Neurospora crassa OR74A: one gene and its partner. The protein of the gene in region 1 interacts with the protein of each later gene in a biochemical or structural test. Links are inferred from orthologs where the notes say so. Each region holds a gene or a part of one and is shown in the gene's direction. Other genes may lie near its edges.

Evidence for each region.
Region 2: the proteins of NCU00469 (region 1) and NCU09465 are reported together in a solved structure, tested with the Saccharomyces cerevisiae proteins (2 studies listed by BioGRID, with this or other methods). The link is inferred for Neurospora crassa OR74A from reciprocal best matches to the Saccharomyces cerevisiae genes ATS1 and KTI11.

What each region holds. Positions count from the first base shown.
Region 1 is NC_026503.1:3,965,988-3,974,621, forward strand, and holds NCU00469 (alpha-tubulin suppressor protein Aats1), read left to right. Parts: upstream 1-3,140; 5' UTR 3,141-3,307; coding exon 3,308-4,417; 3' UTR 4,418-4,518; coding exon of another isoform or gene 4,519-4,548; 3' UTR 4,549-4,559; downstream 4,560-8,634. Other genes in the region: CSN-5, read right to left, coding at 4-7; NCU00468 (prephenate dehydrogenase), read right to left, coding at 942-1,996, 2,062-2,173, 2,247-2,307, 2,710-2,819; NCU00470 (DNA repair protein Rad9), read right to left, coding at 4,560-5,383, 5,443-5,679, 5,734-5,875, 5,933-6,070, 6,149-6,262; NCU00471 (hypothetical protein), read left to right, coding at 7,888-8,570.
Region 2 is NC_026502.1:4,365,830-4,374,312, forward strand, and holds NCU09465 (diphthamide biosynthesis protein 3), read left to right. Parts: upstream 1-3,616; 5' UTR 3,617-3,792; coding exon 3,793-3,987; intron 3,988-4,098; coding exon 4,099-4,152; 3' UTR 4,153-5,146; downstream 5,147-8,483. Other genes in the region: leu-6 (leucyl-tRNA synthetase), read left to right, coding at 1-76; NCU09464 (hypothetical protein), read left to right, coding at 1,198-1,303, 1,379-1,791; NCU09466 (hypothetical protein), read right to left, coding at 5,365-6,845, 6,907-7,087. UniProt on the Saccharomyces cerevisiae protein: Required for the first step of diphthamide biosynthesis, a post-translational modification of histidine which occurs in elongation factor 2.

The sequences.
Region 1 (8,634 bases):
TACCCATCGTGGTCAAACGGTTGCTCTCGCCGAGCTATTGTAGGGTAGCTTGGGGTATACGCGAAATTTCGGGTGCAATTTCGTGATTCTTTTTTGAAAATTGGCCGTGATAGATGTTATGAGAGGATCGGATAACTGTATCATACAATATAGAAGGAAAGTAGCAGTGTCCGTCGCGCTGGTGATGTTGTGTGCAACAGGCAACGAAACAGTCCAACTAAGCAAGCTGCAAGTACGCTGAGGCGAAAGCTTGATTGCGGCAGGCCGCAGTGGCATACGGCCTCATGTGGGTCAATTCATGGAGGGGGTCCAGCCTGCGATGCGGGGGTTAAGTGAAGCTGATAAGCTTCTGGCGCCGCGGCAATCAGCCATCAAGGTTCTACCTTAGGTACTGTGCAGGCATCTACCTACCTATCTATAAACAAAACAACAAAAAGCACTTCGTAGGCCGTGGAGCTCTCGACATCGAAGCCCTGCCGGGCAATGTCATCTCCTGACTCGGTGTGCCAAACTTCATCATGAAGATGCACCAGCGGAGGAAGGGCCTTGTGAGTGACATGACCTGAGGACGGTAGCTGGAGGGCTGACCATAGGAAGAAGATACGAAAATAGGACTCTGTACCAGGTAGGTACCAGTAGTGTTGCAGCCAGGACAGCATCATCTCTCGCCATGCCTCATACAGCATTACAGCAAATCTCACAATCGTACATCATCAAAGAACCAACCGAGACGAATTTTCCAAAATCCAGATGTCCGTTTTTCAATTATCAATATCACGGTCGTTGCTGGGAAGCCTACGCCAGGTAGCCGTGTTATACCCACAGATATATCTCGTCCATCAAGATGCCCGTTTTTTCCCCCCTGATACCGTTCCACAGCCCTTCGCGCATTCAACCTTCTCCATGTGCATTCCAATCCAGTCTCCGTTCCGTACATACCTTTAGTCCTTCTCATCGCTTGCCAGGACTGCCTTGATCATCGCATTACCTACCTCCACCGCTCCCTTGAACCTCGGCTCGAAGAAAGCCTGGGTAACCGCAAACCGCTCCCTCCACGTCTCGAATTGCCTCAGACCCACACACTCGGCCCAGCCCGCCGCCGCAATGGTGAACTGCAAGTCATCCCTTCTGAAAGTCCGATCCTCGATGCCGACCTTCAGGCACTCATCCAGCAAGCCTGGGGTCCTGAACAAGTGCTCGGTGACGCCCAGCCAGAGTCGGAACAGGGGAGTCGAGCAGATCATGTGGTCGTACGGCACGATTCCCAGAGCGCTCCAGCAGTCGACCATGGCAAGCAGCGAGAGGTGGTTGTTGGGCAAGGAGGGAGCCGAAGGGCCGCCATTTTCCGGCTGGCGGAGGCTGAACTGGTCGAGCACATCGTCACGGAGGAGAGGTTTGCTCGCCCACTTGGGGCTTCCTTCGGCACCGAAGACTTTTTCCTTGGCGGCGTACACGCGGGCGCGAAGCTCGTCGCTATGACCCTCCAGCATAAGTTGGAACAGCTCGGTGGTGGACTTGGCGAACTGGGCAATCTGCTTGTGTGCTTCGGGGTTGAGGATGGCGAGGCCGGCGTAGACGTGCCACTTTTGGGCATAGATGCGGAGCATGAGGTTGATCTTGACGTTTTCGATGCCGCCGACATAACGGGTTCCCTCCCAGGGGAATTGCTTGGTTGCATGCCAGGCCTTGCCCATGCTGAGGAAAGCGGCGTGGGTGACGGCTTGGGTATCGGCCGTGATGCGGTCATGTTCATCGGCACTCAGGTAGACAACCTTGGAGTTAAGGCAGGAGAGTACGTGCTCAACCTTGGAGAAAGATTCGTCGGAGGCGCGATGCTTGATGAGCACCAGCGGCTGGCCCTTGGGATCGACATTGGGGCCGTGAAGGGAGTGGCAGGATACGATGTCAACGTCGGCGGGCAGGTACTTTTCGAAAGCCTTGATCTCAGGATCTTTACAGGACGTTTGGCCACCAACAATAGCGCCGAGCTTGGTCGCTAAAAACGAGGTACGCGGTTAAGGTCAAGTCTACGTGACGGGGAGAGAGGTCATGGCAACACACATGGACCGTACTGGGCGACGACACGATCGATGACCGCCGCCTCAACACTGTAGATGATATAATCGCTGGCGCGAGACACGAAATGACCGTTACGGAGAATTTGTATATTGTTCTAGAAAGCAAAATATGAAGACTCAGCACTGATTCTGCTGTAGAGAGATCGGGCTAAATGTGTGCGACCGTACATTCCCCTCGAACTCTTGTACCAGCTCATCATATTTCTCTTCTCTATCGCAGGCCATGATCCTGAAAGGGATCGTTAGCCAACCGATTCCTGATCATGCTGTAACACTAAGAACCTGTTGATATCTGGTCAGCGAAAGTCCCTTACAAATGCTGCAAGATATAAAGATGTGTGAAGATGTGTTTGTTTCAGACGAAAATTGTAAGGTAGCTGAGATTTTTCATCATGGAAAGCTCCCTACACAAACTGGGACCGGAACGGTTGACCAGCCGTGACAGGCGCGATACTCTAGCCAAATGCACTCAAGTCATCATATTAGGGGGTAATGGGGAATGAGAAGAACTGTTGCAACGTACCATTTGAACAACTGCGAAATGTTTGTTGAAGGTTAGTCGCGGTGGCAGGCTCCGCGAAGAGCCTGGGCGTGATTGACGACGATGAGACGAGCGAGGAAGAATTATTACCTCCAACCTGCGCTGCTAAGTCTCCGGGCATACATCTTGCCCATATCGCCCATCCCAATCAGACCGACAGTGAAGCCGGTCATATTGGGGGATTCCGATGTCGAAGCCATATTGACGCGTGTATTGTTTCTTTCCAGCAGGACCGGTCGATTGCGGCAACTATCACATCGTCACACAAGACCCTCGGCACCAAAGAAGCACTCGCTCGATGATCGCGCGAGAAGCAATGGGTGAGGCTGCGTTGCTGTTGCTGGCTTTGTGGTACGGAAAGGAAGAAATTTTCAATTCGGGAGGCCGCAAGGTGGGATTTTAAAAACGACTGGAAAATCCCGTCAGTGTGCTTCGCCCCACTTTGATTTGCACTGGAAAGCTCGGACCATCTTCCCGACACCGCAAATGGAGCCATGCCTCCGAACTTACAGCCTCCGAACCAAAACTCCACCAATGTCCCGGCCCGGCACCGGCTGTGCGCGGAGGCTGCAATGAATGCCGTCGTCATCCTTAGTTGCCACGATTAAAAGACGGGACATTTCCGGGAAAACATCGACTTATCATCATTCCGCCTCGCTCAGTCCATTAATCGAGAAGTTGCATCAGAATGCTGCTACTCTTCGCTCTTGGATCTAATGGCTCCGGCCAGCTAGGCATCGGCCACAAAGAAGACGTTTCCGTTCCAAAGGATGCCCATTTTGATGCAGACCTTCCGGCTACCGCCTCCATCACCAAGATTGTTGCTGGAGGTAACCACACAATTATTTTGACTACGACCGGCGACATCTACTGGAGCGGAGACCCGAATACCGGTGCCTGTGGCAAGTTCACTCAAACACAAATTTCGCAGCCTCCTCGATTTCACCCGGTCGACATTTCATCTGTATCAACACCCCAAGACCCATTCAGGGTAGGTATGGTTGCAGCTGCCTGGGAAGCAAGCATCTTTACCCGCCTGGATGCCCAAGGTCGCAACACCAGAGTCTACTCTTGCGGCACCGGCCTGAAAGGCGAGTTGGGCTTGGGCACGTTCATCTTCCGTACGGCGACTCCGTCTCTGATTCCAGATTTTCCTCCCCCGGACACGGAAGTTGTCGATCTCGCCGCTTGTATGGGCCATGTCGTTGCAGTTTTAAGCAATGGTGACGTTTGGGGTTGGGGTAATGGCCGGAAGGGTCAGATCGGAGCGCCGGAGGATATTGTTCACTCACCCCGCAAAATCGAGGGTTTGGGCTTCAAGGTTGTGAAAGCGGTCTGTGGAAAGGAATTCACATGCTTTCTGGGAAGCCCTGAAAGCGGTAACATCATGGTCCTTGGTTCAGACAAATGGGGGATCAGGGGTGAAGTTCCGGACCAGGTTGTCGGATGGCGAGAGGTCGGTGCTAGTTGGGGCAACCTGTTCATCTTGAAGGGAGATGGAAGCTTATTGAGCTGGGGCCGTAATGACCATGGTCAACTCGCTCCCGCGAACCTACCCCAAACCAAACATATTGCGGTGGGGAGCGAACATGCACTGGCCTTGAGCGAGGAGGGCGACGTTACAGCCTGGGGCTGGGGTGAACACGGCAACTGCGGACCGCTCAGTAGTTCGGATGTCACAAAGGGTCAGCAGAACGTTATTGCGTCGTCGAAGTTCATTCCTTCGGGCGCTAAAATAACCACCATCGGGGCCGGCTGTGCCACCAGTTGGGTGGCAATACAGATGCCGTCAACTTAGAGCCTTGGGAACAGTCAAAGATATGCCGAGGATGACTGCTAAGTCGTATGTTACAGTACATGAACTAAACCACCCCTTTAAGCACTGCTCGGTTTACTTGGTCAAGAGGAAAATAAACCAAAGCGCCGAACCTGATTGCCAGTTAGCAAAAGAATAGACATAGGAGACAACAAGATACATGCCTCAGAAAGCTGCTGGGTTGGCTCGAGTCCCCCAGCAAGTCTGTCTGGCTCATTACCGGGCACAGCCGGTCTTGCCAGTAAACTGCTAATTCGCAAGGACGGCGGGTTCTGGAGTGGATGTTAGCCATCTTTTTTCTGGCGACTAGAGGGAAATGACGTAGAAGTACCGGCTCGCCCGTTGCATTCCACTCGACTCTAGCGTTGTCCATCTCCTCTTCATCCTCACGATCCACGGGATCCCATTGCCGGTCCTCGTCGCCTTGCTCAACGAATAACGGCGAATCAGATCGATCAGTCCTGGCGGCCACCGGGCTTCGAGGCGGTATGGGTGGTGGTCGAATTTCAAATTGTGTCTGTCGTGGTTGTGGAGGTGTCTTTTGTTGAGGAGGCTTCTGCGCTGGTTTTGGAACGTCTTTGGCCTCATTGTTTGCAACAGAGCCGTCGGGCTTAGACGCAGGACCCGGTCCCGGACCCGAACCCGGTTTTGGGGTCTTTGAAGCCCTCGCCCTGGTATTTTTGTGCTTCTGAGTGATGGCATCCTGTTCTCCAACCGTCATGAGGATGAACTCGCACAGGATACCGTCCGCACTATAAGATAACTTCATCGGGCGTCCGGGCTCCGAGTAGTAGGTTGCGAGCTCTCCGCTGATTATTTGAGCGTGTTGCAGAATGGCTCGGAAATCCTTGACACTAATGATGATGTGAAGTTTGTCTTGGACTTCAACCTCATTAAACTCGGCCATTTCTACAGAAATGTTGGTGTGAAGCGGCTTCTTGAGGACAGCTTTTCACGCCATTGTCAGCATCATCCTCCAACTTGGCTTGAAGGGAGGTCTTACGAACCTTCATTGCCATGAGGGCCGCGTTTCTGCACCTTGTCCGTGAAGCAGGTAAAGTTCACAACATGATCATCGTCATCCGTGTTGATATCAAGCAATTCAATACCCGGACCGAAATGATCCATGAGTTGTCGCAGTGTGCTAGATGAGATCGACCAACGATTCCCAGCCTCGTCCTTCTCAAACTTGGCATGAGTTGGTGGCTTTGATTCGAACGGTAGAGAATGAGACGCGGTGATTCCTGTAACGTTGTGAGCTTTGTAGGTATCATGACTATGATCGGAGCGTTATGTACCGTTCCTGCAAGAGATTCTGGCAATCAACCGGCTCTTCTTGCCAGGGCCATCGTCAATGGCAACATCACAGCGCTCGATGGAAGCATCTTTATCCCGTGCAGAATCACCACCTTGGCGAGACCGAAAGATGGACAAGAGGGACTGAGAGAAATTGTTGGTAAATACCCAGGGGACATAGGTCTAGGAGCGACCACTCACCCGGATATAGAGTTGGCAGAAGAATCTATCTCGATACTGGGCATTCCCCTCGAAATGGTAACGGGAGAAGAACCTGTTAGCGGCAAAAGTGAAGCAAACGTATGCTGACTTTGAGATGTTGAGAGTAGTCAAGGTAAGCTAAGAGACAGATAAATTAGCACCTGTATCACAATCTCAAGAAGGGAAGATTTGTTGGTGAGCCCTATATGTACGTACCTTGTCCCTTCTTGCTTCCAAGCAAACATCATCACTGAACTTGTACATGCAGGCGAGGGCGTCGTGGAAAACAGACACGCCCTCCTCGCTGAGCGTGAAGTTCAAGATTACCATTTTGTGGCCGTCGTCGCAATTAGTCGATCGACTTATATTCTTTTGGTCAGGAAGAGCTTTCTCGGGTCTAAGTCTGGCCACTCAGTTTCTCGCATCCAGTCAGCGATTTCTGTTGTGATGGCCCCCTGCAGTGGCCTGGAGTATGATGGAAAATAAATCGAGGCCGAGTGCAGTTGCCTTGGAGTGCTCTTGCGTGACACAAAACGCTGTACCTATCAAGAGCAAGTGAACAATGGATGGAAGGTGCAACTGTGATGGTTGCGCGGCTGCTCCCACTCGCAAGAGACCGCGTCGAAGCACAGCATTTGGGGCGGTAAATTTCAGTGCCTAGCACCCTAGCCTAGCTCTAGGGCCCTCTAAAATAGGTACACACAGGGACCGATCGACGCTCCCGTCACCTTGCCGGACTTCCGTCGTTCATGAGCGACATACCTACCTGTAGGTACCTAGGTCGAGGTACCTCTACTAGGTACCAGTAGCCCGGTCTTTCAGGTCAATTTCCCCCCCCACTTGCGCCTAGTTGCGGCATGAACTAGGTCCCGTCGAGCTCACAAAAAGGAAAAAGCTCCCATGCCCGGACTATTGTTGGTACGTGCGGGAGTTCCTCAGTAATATTCAAGTGTACACCTTTTCTTCTGTTGAATTCCCGTTTGGTATGGGACAAGTGATTTGATACTGTGGAAGCAGCAATAGGTACCTCTAGCTCAACCTCATTGGCTCGGCTACCTATCGTAGTCAATGTGGAGGCTGTTGGATATCCGAGTCCTCAACTGACACACGACAACAAACGCAATTCCGAAAACACCCTGTTTATAAGAAGTCGTGAAGCAAATCACACTGCATTTATGAATTCCACCAGTGAGCGCGCTCTGATGCCTTGAGTATGCACGCACATGTGACAAGGGGGCTCGTGTACCCTAGAGGTAGGTATTGATTTACGAGTACAAGAAATCGCCCTTCTGTGGTTTTCGGAATTTATCTCCAGTCCTCTCTCTGTCCAAACAGCCCAGATCGCTCTGACAATTCGCAAACGACTGTTTCATCTTCTGCTTTTCCCTCCCAAACAATAATCTACTGCTTAGTGTAGACCCTTTACTGAATTTCACAGTGAGGCTCGGCAGAAACTGTCCGTTGTGGCAACTGAAGTTCCGTCCACACAAGTGCATCACAGCAACCCATTTGCCAGGAGAATCACTGCACACCCAGCAACCAACTTGTCCATAAGCATCACCATTGACGCGGGCATTGTCACGGAATATTCTTGGATTTCCGCTTCGCAGCCGCTCCTCCACAACCAGCATAGGCCGTCGAGACTTTTCAAGACTTTAGCCAGGCACGCTGGTAGATTCCTTTTGCTTGTCGAGAGGAACCCATACTTCCACGGTTCTTTTGAGTTGCACGCTAAGGTTCGTGGTGCTTTCTCGCCCCTCCCTTCCATCACAGTACCTGTACCTATTCCCTTAACTGCTCCTTCAGCCCCCTTCAAACGTACAATGTTTTCTGACTTTTGCCCAGACAAAGTTAAACAGAACCGTTCACTTCCGCCGTGCCGTGGGCAGCTATACCGCATTTCGCATTCCCACGTCCACTTTATTGGTTGTTTCGTCCTGGCCTCAACAGTTGCCATGACCTTCCCGGGCTTTCCCACAGAAATTTGGTGGCTTATTGTTGACCAGGCTGCCAGTATAAAAGACCTATCAACAATGTTTCTCATTGCTCGTCTCAATCGTACCATGGCATGCTTTGCCTTGCCGCTAATGTACGGCATCGTCAAAGGGTTAATGTATGACGACGCGGACAGGCAGTCGGTCTGCTTCTGGAGATCTATCATTGTGTCCAGCCTGGGGAAGACCTTATATCCGTACTGCTGTTGGGTTAAGACACTTGACTTCTCCGATCTCCTCAACTTCCTCCAAAATTTCGATAAATCAGAGGATGCCCAACTGCGTTACAAATTTTACAGCCCGCCACTTCGCTACCTACAACTACTCCAAATTAATATATCCAACCCAGACCATCCATTCGACCAAGACAATTTCGATGGCAACGTAGGTCCACATGTGCTATTCTGTGAAGTCGTCAACAAGATCACAGAAGGTATCAGGGCTACCGCCGACCAGGGGCACGTCACTTCCCATTTAACTAAAGTTCGGTTTCCGAACCTAGAATATCTGCCCTGTATATTATATTTTCCTGTGTGGATTTCAAGGCTCACTGGATTGACAACGCTTCATATCCATGACATATCTTTACTGAACGAACAGGTGACTCTGGCTATTGCTGAGAACTGCTCTGCCCTCAAACATTTGTGAGCATTCTTCAGTTCCCCACCTATAACCGCATGCCACCCTTCGCGGAGGCATTCGCAGCCG
Region 2 (8,483 bases), on another chromosome or scaffold:
TGAGATCGAGGTCACGGCGCCAATGGCTGAGGCTGCTCTTCCTGGTCAGCCCAGCTTTTTCTTTACCAATGTTTAAAGGTGTGATGCGTGGTAAGATGGGAAATCTATGTGGTGGGCAGTGATGGTTTTCTGATGAATGTCATTTGTTTGGGTTTGATATCATGGATGGCTAAAAGTTTTAGCGATGAATAGATTTGTGTTCATCTAGGTGACGGATGTTTGTGTCAAAGCTCTCATGTTCAAAGGACACGGCTATGTGGCGATGGTTGGCCTGGTGTTGAGCTGGTTGCATTACTTACACTTGGAGGCCTCAAAGCATCGACTGTATCGTCTTGACCCCGTGGGCAAGGAAGAGCCAGAGCCGCTTCATGGACAACCAAGCACATTTCTTTCCCTGGCGAGCCCAGGTATGTTAGTTCGGAGCTCGTTGTTCTGCCTGGCTTGGAACTCGCTCGCCTGCTTGAGTTCCGGAGAGTTGGCCCGGAGGCTCGAGCACCGGCGGTCGGACCTCACTGCCCTTGCACACAGGATGTTCGGCTGCTCGTAACTATAGTACTCAGCAGCCATCCAAGTAATCAGCTTCGGGGAGCACGTGAAGAGGTTGGCGCTATTGCGAGGCTTGCCAGTTACGAGAACATCAGCATACTTCGGAAACCATCTCCCCGCTCCGAAGGCAGAATGAGTTGAGGAGTCCAGGCTCGGAGGAACAGGTCATCCCTGTTGATTGCGTAGTTGTGTCAGCATCATGGTGTACTCGACTCCTTGAAGGGGATACGAAGCTCCAATGTCAGCCATGATGACCTCACTCCTGAAGTGAAGCCGAGTGTTCATCCGGCGTTGGACTTGCCCACAGCCTTCCTGGAACTTGGACTCAGCTCTCTTGTAATCGTCCCTGGTAGGCAGTGCAAGCTTCCTCTTTCATCATCCAGACATCTTCCGCGTCTTGGTATCTGATCACCTCATCTCCAGCCTCCCCTCACCTAACCTTTAATAGCCGTCTCCTTCCCCTCGTTTCCTCCGTCATCTTGCCTACCTCTCAACGCCTCATCATCCTTTTCTGCTCTCGTTTTCCCTCAAAGCTAAAGCAAGACAAAATTCGAACGAAGAGAGGATCAACTCATTCGCTATCAAAAGAACGAACTCTACCAAAGCCAAAACAAGCCAGCCACCGACCGGTCCTCAAGTCATCTAAGCAAGATGCGTTCCTCCACTCTCCTCGCTGTCCTCGGCACTGCCAGCCTCGCTGCTGCTCAAACCACCATTACCAGTATTTACGTGAGCACGCCGACCTCAACTTCTTTGAGTAAGTCTTTCTTCTTGGGTGTCCCGTCCGTCCGTTCTCACTGCCTTTTCCAACTGTTTGGTGTTTTTGTCACAGCACCTCCTCGTCAAAACGAGCGCCTCCAGTCTTGTCTAGCCGCTTGCATGATCCAATTCCCGGCTCTCCCTCGTGTTACAGGTGGTGGTGGTGTTATTCCACCTGCGCCTGCTGCCAAGGGGTGTCGGGGTCGGACGGACAGGCTGGATCGGGTTGCGCGTGATGTCGGACCGTGTCATCCCCATCAACCTCCTTCTCCTCTTCTCCCGGTCACTTTTCCTCCGTTTCCTCCCCCGAAAGCGCCTATTCCCATTCAGACTCCTCGTCCTGTTCCTGTTAACTCGCTGTCTCCTGATCCTGATTCTGCGGGGTTTGTGCCTGGGAATGAGGATGAGAACGAGCAGACCTACGAGGATCCCCCTCCTCTTCCTGACGACCCTCCTGTTGCGTCGCTTCCCCCTCTGGGATTTTAGTTATCCCTACCTAACCACCCCTTCTCTCCCCTTTTCTCCTTTTTTTTCCTCTTTTGAACCACTCTCTTTCTGCCTTTCATCTACCACTCTCTCTCTTTTTCATCCTACTAACATCAATACAAAACAAGCCACCACAACAGTCACACCCTCCTCTTCCACCACTTCCACCTCCACCTCCTCCACAACCACCACCGTCTACTCCTCTAGCACCACCAGCAGCTACACTTCTTCGGGCGTCACCACGTCCACTTCCACCTCGACTTCTACTGCGTCCCCGTCTTCGGTGCCTAGTGCTGCGGCTGGGAAGGTGCCGTTGCAGGGACCGGCGGTGGGGTTGGGTGTTTTTGCGGCGGTGGGGATGGTTTTGTTGTGAGAAGAGGTTTCCTAGTCTTTTGGGTTAAAATGTTTGTGATGTCTCGGGGCTGGGTTGAGTTGTCTGGGTTTCGGTTTCGATGTTGATGGTTGGGGGTGTTTGGTTGTTTGTTTGAGATGGGAAAGTAAACGAGTGAGCGAGGTATTGGCTGGGATGTAATGCTGTGGAATGCGTGGTGTCTATTTTCTGATGATGAAGAGTTGGGAATAGAAGGACGGTATGGTATAGTTCGGTGGTAGTGGTTATCCAAATCATGATGTTGTTGAGTCCGCTAATGTTGGTTGTTGAGCACACACGAAGGGACTTTGGTGCTGGTTTCATTTTCGTTATTTGGGGAGGTTTGGGTGAGGAGATTCGCGGAGACTGAAGAGTGAAGCATCGAGTTAAGATCGAAGGGATGATTTGACAAGGGGAGACGTGCGGCAGAGCTTGAATTCAGGGTAATGATGTTAGGGGATTGGGGATAAGTTCCTGGTGAGAGAGGAGGAGAAATGGAGGCACAACAGCATCAACAACAGTATTGGGAGGTGGATCTGAGGATGGAAGTCCAGATAGTTGGGGTTTCGTGAGAACAAATCAAAGAGGAAGTGTGGGTAGCGGTACGAGTGGGCGAAAGGACGCGAGGTTCTTGAAGATGCAGTTCTTGAGGTGAATGTTATGTGATGATGGCCAGAAGGAGGCAGAGAAGCATGAGGAGGCGTATCTGGTACATACAGAAAAGAGTTGATAATGAGTTTCTTTTCCTACTTAATCTTTCGGTGAATATGACCTCCAAGCGTCTCAACTCGTTCGAAAAAAATACTCTACTTCTTTCGACCAAAGAAAAGAAAGGGAAATGATGTCAGGAGATTGACCACCACTTCAACACGCAAAACGCAAAAAGAAACACGAGATGGTTGCTGGTCGCAGATGCATGAATAGCAAAAAGCCAAAAAGATATTGTGGATGACCCCAACCCGATTTGAACGGATAACCTTTCGATCTGGAGTCGAACGCGCTACCGTTGCGCCATAGGGCCTTGTTGAAAGTAAGGTTCATACCTAGGCTTTATAAGTAAAAGATGAGAGCCCTGCAGCCAGTGACAACATGCTCATCTTCATGCTCTTCGGTGATATGCAATCTCAGAAAAGTTTTTCGAGCCTTGGGGATAGCTTGGTTCTCTTTTGCCATTATATAAATGGATTCTGCGCTTGGTCTCATGGCATGTCTTTTGCGTAGCATGACTACAGCGATTGAGGAAGATTCGCTGTAGTGACGAAGCAATACGAGGTCTTGGTAAGTTACACAGCTTTGACCTACACGCATTGCCCAATCTTGGCGTACTACACGGTAAGATACTCTGCCCACCCCCACACTTCCATCCGCGCGCCGCACGCGCCAAAAGTTCACTGCAGTTCCCGTCACATCTGACATTTTGCCCCTCCACTGTCCCGCTCGCCGCGCTGACTCTTTTTTTTTCCCTGTCCGTTCCTTCAACTTTCCAACATATCATATCATCAGCCTCCAATCCAACCAACACTCCCAACTTTTTCGCTCCACCATCCAAACGATACTATCTAGCCCAGCTCGCGACATTTGCAACCCGAACAGATCCCACAAGCCGCGAAGTTTCAATCGAAATAACCAAAATGTCCGACGAAGAATACTCCATCTACGACGAAGTCGAAATCGAAGACATGACCTACGACCCAGCGCTGCAGACGTATTCGTACCCCTGCCCATGCGGCGACAAGTTCGAGATTGCGCTCGCCGACCTCCAGGACGGTCAGGACATTGCCGTTTGCCCGAGCTGTAGCTTGATGGTCAGGGTCATTTTTGAAGTTGTGAGTATTGCCATTTTCTGTGTGTGGGGGGAGGGACCAGGACATGGAGGCGAGAAGAGTTTTGGGTGGAATGCAGCAGTGTTGCTAACCAACGGATGATTACCTAAACAGGATAACCTCCCCAAGGCACCGGATGCCGCGGCGTCTATTGCTGTTTCCGCTTAATGGGGGACTACGAAGTCGAATGAAAAATCTAAGAGGCGCGGAATATAGAAGTGGCTCGCAACGAGGCGCTCATGATTCCGTACACCGAGGTTGAAGGTTAGGATAACACCAGCCTTTCCGACATCAACTTGCAACCAAAGCCACAATGATACAGCAGAAGCAAGCCGATTGCTTTCTCGAGCCCAGTCCAGTTCATACCAGCCGTCCTCGCCCTGGTTTGCATCGAGATCACGCCCCGCTGGCACAGCCAGCCAGTTAAACAAGCCGACCGAGCCAATGTACCAGTCGACAGATCCTCTGCTGTCCCCCGCCGATGCGAATGACCCTCAACCGGCGATAATGATAACCAGAACCAACTCGATTTGATTTGATCCGAGATCAGATCGACCTCGTCCAGAAAATAACAGCGTCGCTGCCCGGCCGCCGGGAACAAAGCAAGCAGAGCGACCATGACCTTCCAGGCCCCTGGTGCCGTTTACATCCAAGGATTCGTCGGTCGGATTTGCCAGCAGCTGGGTGAAAGCATTCAAAAACAAAGGGGATGCTTCATGGGTGGGCCTGGCTTTTCGCTGCCCTTGGCTTTTGTCTGCGACCGTGTGCTTTGGGCGTTGGGTGTTGGGCATCACAATCAACATTGGGACAGGCGTTTTCTACGTTGCAGCGGTTGATTTTGGGCGTGCTTCTTGGCTAGGATGGGATATCAAATAGATCGAAAGAATGGCGGGGCGGAGTGCGAAGGCAGGGGCTTGATTTAGATAGGTGCTCGGATGGCTTCAAATCGCGCACTAGATGGACGTGTCTCATGATCGGAAACGTGCGATGGAAGTGATAGGACTTTATCAACGCTTTGGAATCTTGTGTATATTACTTATATAGGCGTTGGGGTTGGGATATCTGCTTTGGAATTGGTGATCTGGGAGTTATTGCTTGAAGCTCTTTACCAAGTAGGAAACTACAATGACAGTCCTAAAGAAAAATGAGCATTCAACACCTGCCACGAGAATCTTGCATTGACTATCCTCTTTCCAACTTTCCATCTCGTATTAATGTAGAATAAGGTATGCTCATAATCTGATGTGATCGATATAACCCCATCCAGTTAACTCTTCCCCATTGCTCCTCCACGTCATCCCTCCATTCTCTCTCACCCCATCAACCGTTTCCATCCCATCAGTACCCCCAGGGCCTCACCCTCATGTCAATGTCAGGTACCTAACCACCCAAAAACCCCCTCCTCTCATTCCTCTTCCTCTCGCTGCTCAGCGCATCAAGCTTAACCGCCACCAAACAACATTCCACCACCGACGCCTTAGCCGGGTTGGGGTTGGGACTTGACTGAATACGCAGCCGCCACTGGCCGGTTTTGACGATCCATTGCTCGCCGCCTAGTGGTGATGAGGTCGAAACGCTGGTCACTCCGTAGGGCGGACTGGAGTCTAGGCGTCGGCGTTTTCGAGGGTTGGGGTTTTCGTCGGGTGATGATGATTGTTGGAAGGGGGAGGGTTTGGTGCTGGGGTTGATGGAATCGGGGGTTTCAGCTGTTGAGGGGCCGCCGGAGGACGAGGAGGCAGATGGAATGGTAGTGCCGGGGGTGTTGTTTGTGGTTCCATTTGCGGGTAATGATGGATGGGCAGTCTGATCGGACTCGTCTGCTGTCCAGGGTTGGCCGTCTAATGTTATGCTTGCTTCGGGGTCGAGGATGACGCGGACGAGATCTTCGCTGAGAAGAGCGTCTCTTGACGTGGACGGTTCGCTACCCCTCCCTCCTTTGGCCATCAATAGCCCCGAGGGCTGAGTGAAGGGGGGCAAGTTGAGCTTGGTAGCGATGACCTCGAATAACTTGGCCATTTTCGCCTTGATGTCCGTGAAGAACTCCGCTCTGACTTCTTCCTTCCCCCCCGGTCCAATGTGTAACTGCGTGGCTTCTTCGCCGATTTCAAGTACGAGTTCCATTGCTTTGTCGTCCGCATACGGCCTGGCATAATTCACCCACGCCGCCAACGGATCTCCCTCCACCGGCTCATTAGCCACGCTTATCCCGCTCTTCATAATATCTCTCAACCCCAGCACAATCTCTTCCCGTCCCCTGACCTGATTGAACCCCTTTTCATGCGGGATCAACCGCTGCTCCAGGCCCTTGAAGTTGTACCACCTGCAGTCCTTCAGAAGCTCCTGCCGATGCCTCTCATCCCGGATCTTCACCGGGTACCCTCTCAGCATATGCAGTAGTTCCTGAAAGACCTCGGCACTGCGATTCGGTACATTAGGCGCGACGATGGACGGCGGACGAATCAGTCCCTCCTTGTCCAAACCGGGAAACAAATCCTCGGGATTGCTGAAAAACATGGCAAACCCGAGCGTAAAAAAGTTGGGCGTGTTCCCGGGTCCAGAAAGGGAGAAGATTTCGCGCGGGATCTGGAAGGGTGTGGAGCCGATGGTGATGTGAATGGGTTCCTCGTAGAGCTGGGACATGAGCTTGGGAAGGGAGTAGAACTGGGCATCGGCGAAGAGGCGGACAAGGTGAGTGGCGTCCCGGGGCCGGACGTGGTAGCCCTGAAGGTGCAGAGAGATGTCTTTGAAGGTGACGGGGTCGCGGTCGATGTAGAGGGTGCGGATGGCGGTGGAGGGGTCTTGGCCGGCGTCGGAGGCTTGCTTGAGTTGGCAGAGGAAGTACTGCGAGAAGTAGGAGGGGGCTGTGGATGTGTTAGTCATTTATGAAGTGTACCTAGGTAGGAAAGGGATGAAGTGACCAACCATCGGAGGAAAGTGAGGCGCCGGACAGCTTGAACAACTCAGTACCTATCTGAATGGGAAACACTCGTTCGTGAGGAAGAATGTTCGGTATGTGAACTATCCGTTGGTGTGAAGAGGCTGAGATGACGGATACGCCATGTTCACCGTTCCTGGCGGGAACACCATGCCCTGAGCTGGTCATGGCTAGCTGCTTTCCAGGACAAGATGCTCACAAAAATTGTAAAGGATTGTCGCGGCGGAACCAAAGTATTTGGACTATGGCTTGGGTAAGCTCATTGTCCGTTATTGGTGGGGATTGAAAGTATGATGAAGTGAGTTCCTTGTGCAAGTCGTGGTCTTTTTAGCAGACAAGCGCGAAGGGTATATGGAAGCTCGGGATGGAAAAAGTGAAGATGACGATAGGAAATGGAATGTTTCACGGATCGTGAATGGGCATGGTCTACAAACTAAAAGTGCAAAAGCCACCCGGGGGAAGATGTGTTACATGTGATGATATACATGTATAAGAGAGGGGAGGTCGTAATATAAGTTAGGTAGAGTCCCTGTCGAACGGCGTGGCACCGGGATTGCGGTCTGGTTACCTTTTTTTGTCTTTGTGTCGCATCGTCTCGTTGCAGCGAAGAACCCAAAGTCGATTCTAGGCCACGCCAAGGAAGAAGCACAGCGCTCACATCGCCGGTGTGAAGTGGCTGGTGGTCCCTGCGATCATCTTGGTCCAAAGTCTAACCTAAAGCGGCATAACTCTCCCTTGGCCAGCTGTCTCGTCCACCTGGCCCGAGCTGTCAAGGTACGTATCGTTTTCTTGTGTCAACCATCAGGCATGTCGACTTCAACTTTGTTTTTTCCGATGTCCTGTCGCTAGGGCTTCAAGCCACTCCCGGCGGCCTCGTCTCAATCCGTGATAATCGGCGCGCCCATCTCTGAGAGGGATGCCTGTCTCGGAGCGATCTATGCGCCTGGATCTGGGGACGTTCGAATCAATGCGATTGGGCAAATTTCGCGGTCGATTTTGTGGGAGGCGGGGTTAGATCGAGCAACCACCATCCTGTGTCACGGTCTAGATGAGAGGAGGTACTTACCATGGAGTTGACAGTGTGGGATGTGGATGGATTGGTGGCGGTTGAGACGCTCACTCTTGACTGCATTCATGAGGAGAAGGAGCAAACTGACGAAATGTCAAATTGGGCAGGGAATGAGGGGAAGAGTCCATCGGGCCATGTCGGGTTCTACCTGACGAGAGCCGACCAAGAAGACAAGGTCAGCAGAGGCTGTTTCTTCAAACGAAAGCGGAAAACATGCGTTCAGAGTTCAGTTTCAGAGTGCAAGGATGGTGACCACGAATCGAAAAATGCCGTCTGGTCAAGCAGTGTCCAGTTGACCGCATGTCACAGTCGACATCGTCGTTCGGCCTTCGGCAGCGGTTGGTTGCTTCCGCCGCAGCACCAAACACTCGCCCAGCATGGATGGACCAGACCAGGTCAAACGCCGACGCTAGGACCTGGCACTAGACATGAGGCATGTCTTGTCATCTTCAACGTTTGGTGCCTTCTCACAGCCGGCATCATGGACTTGCCAGC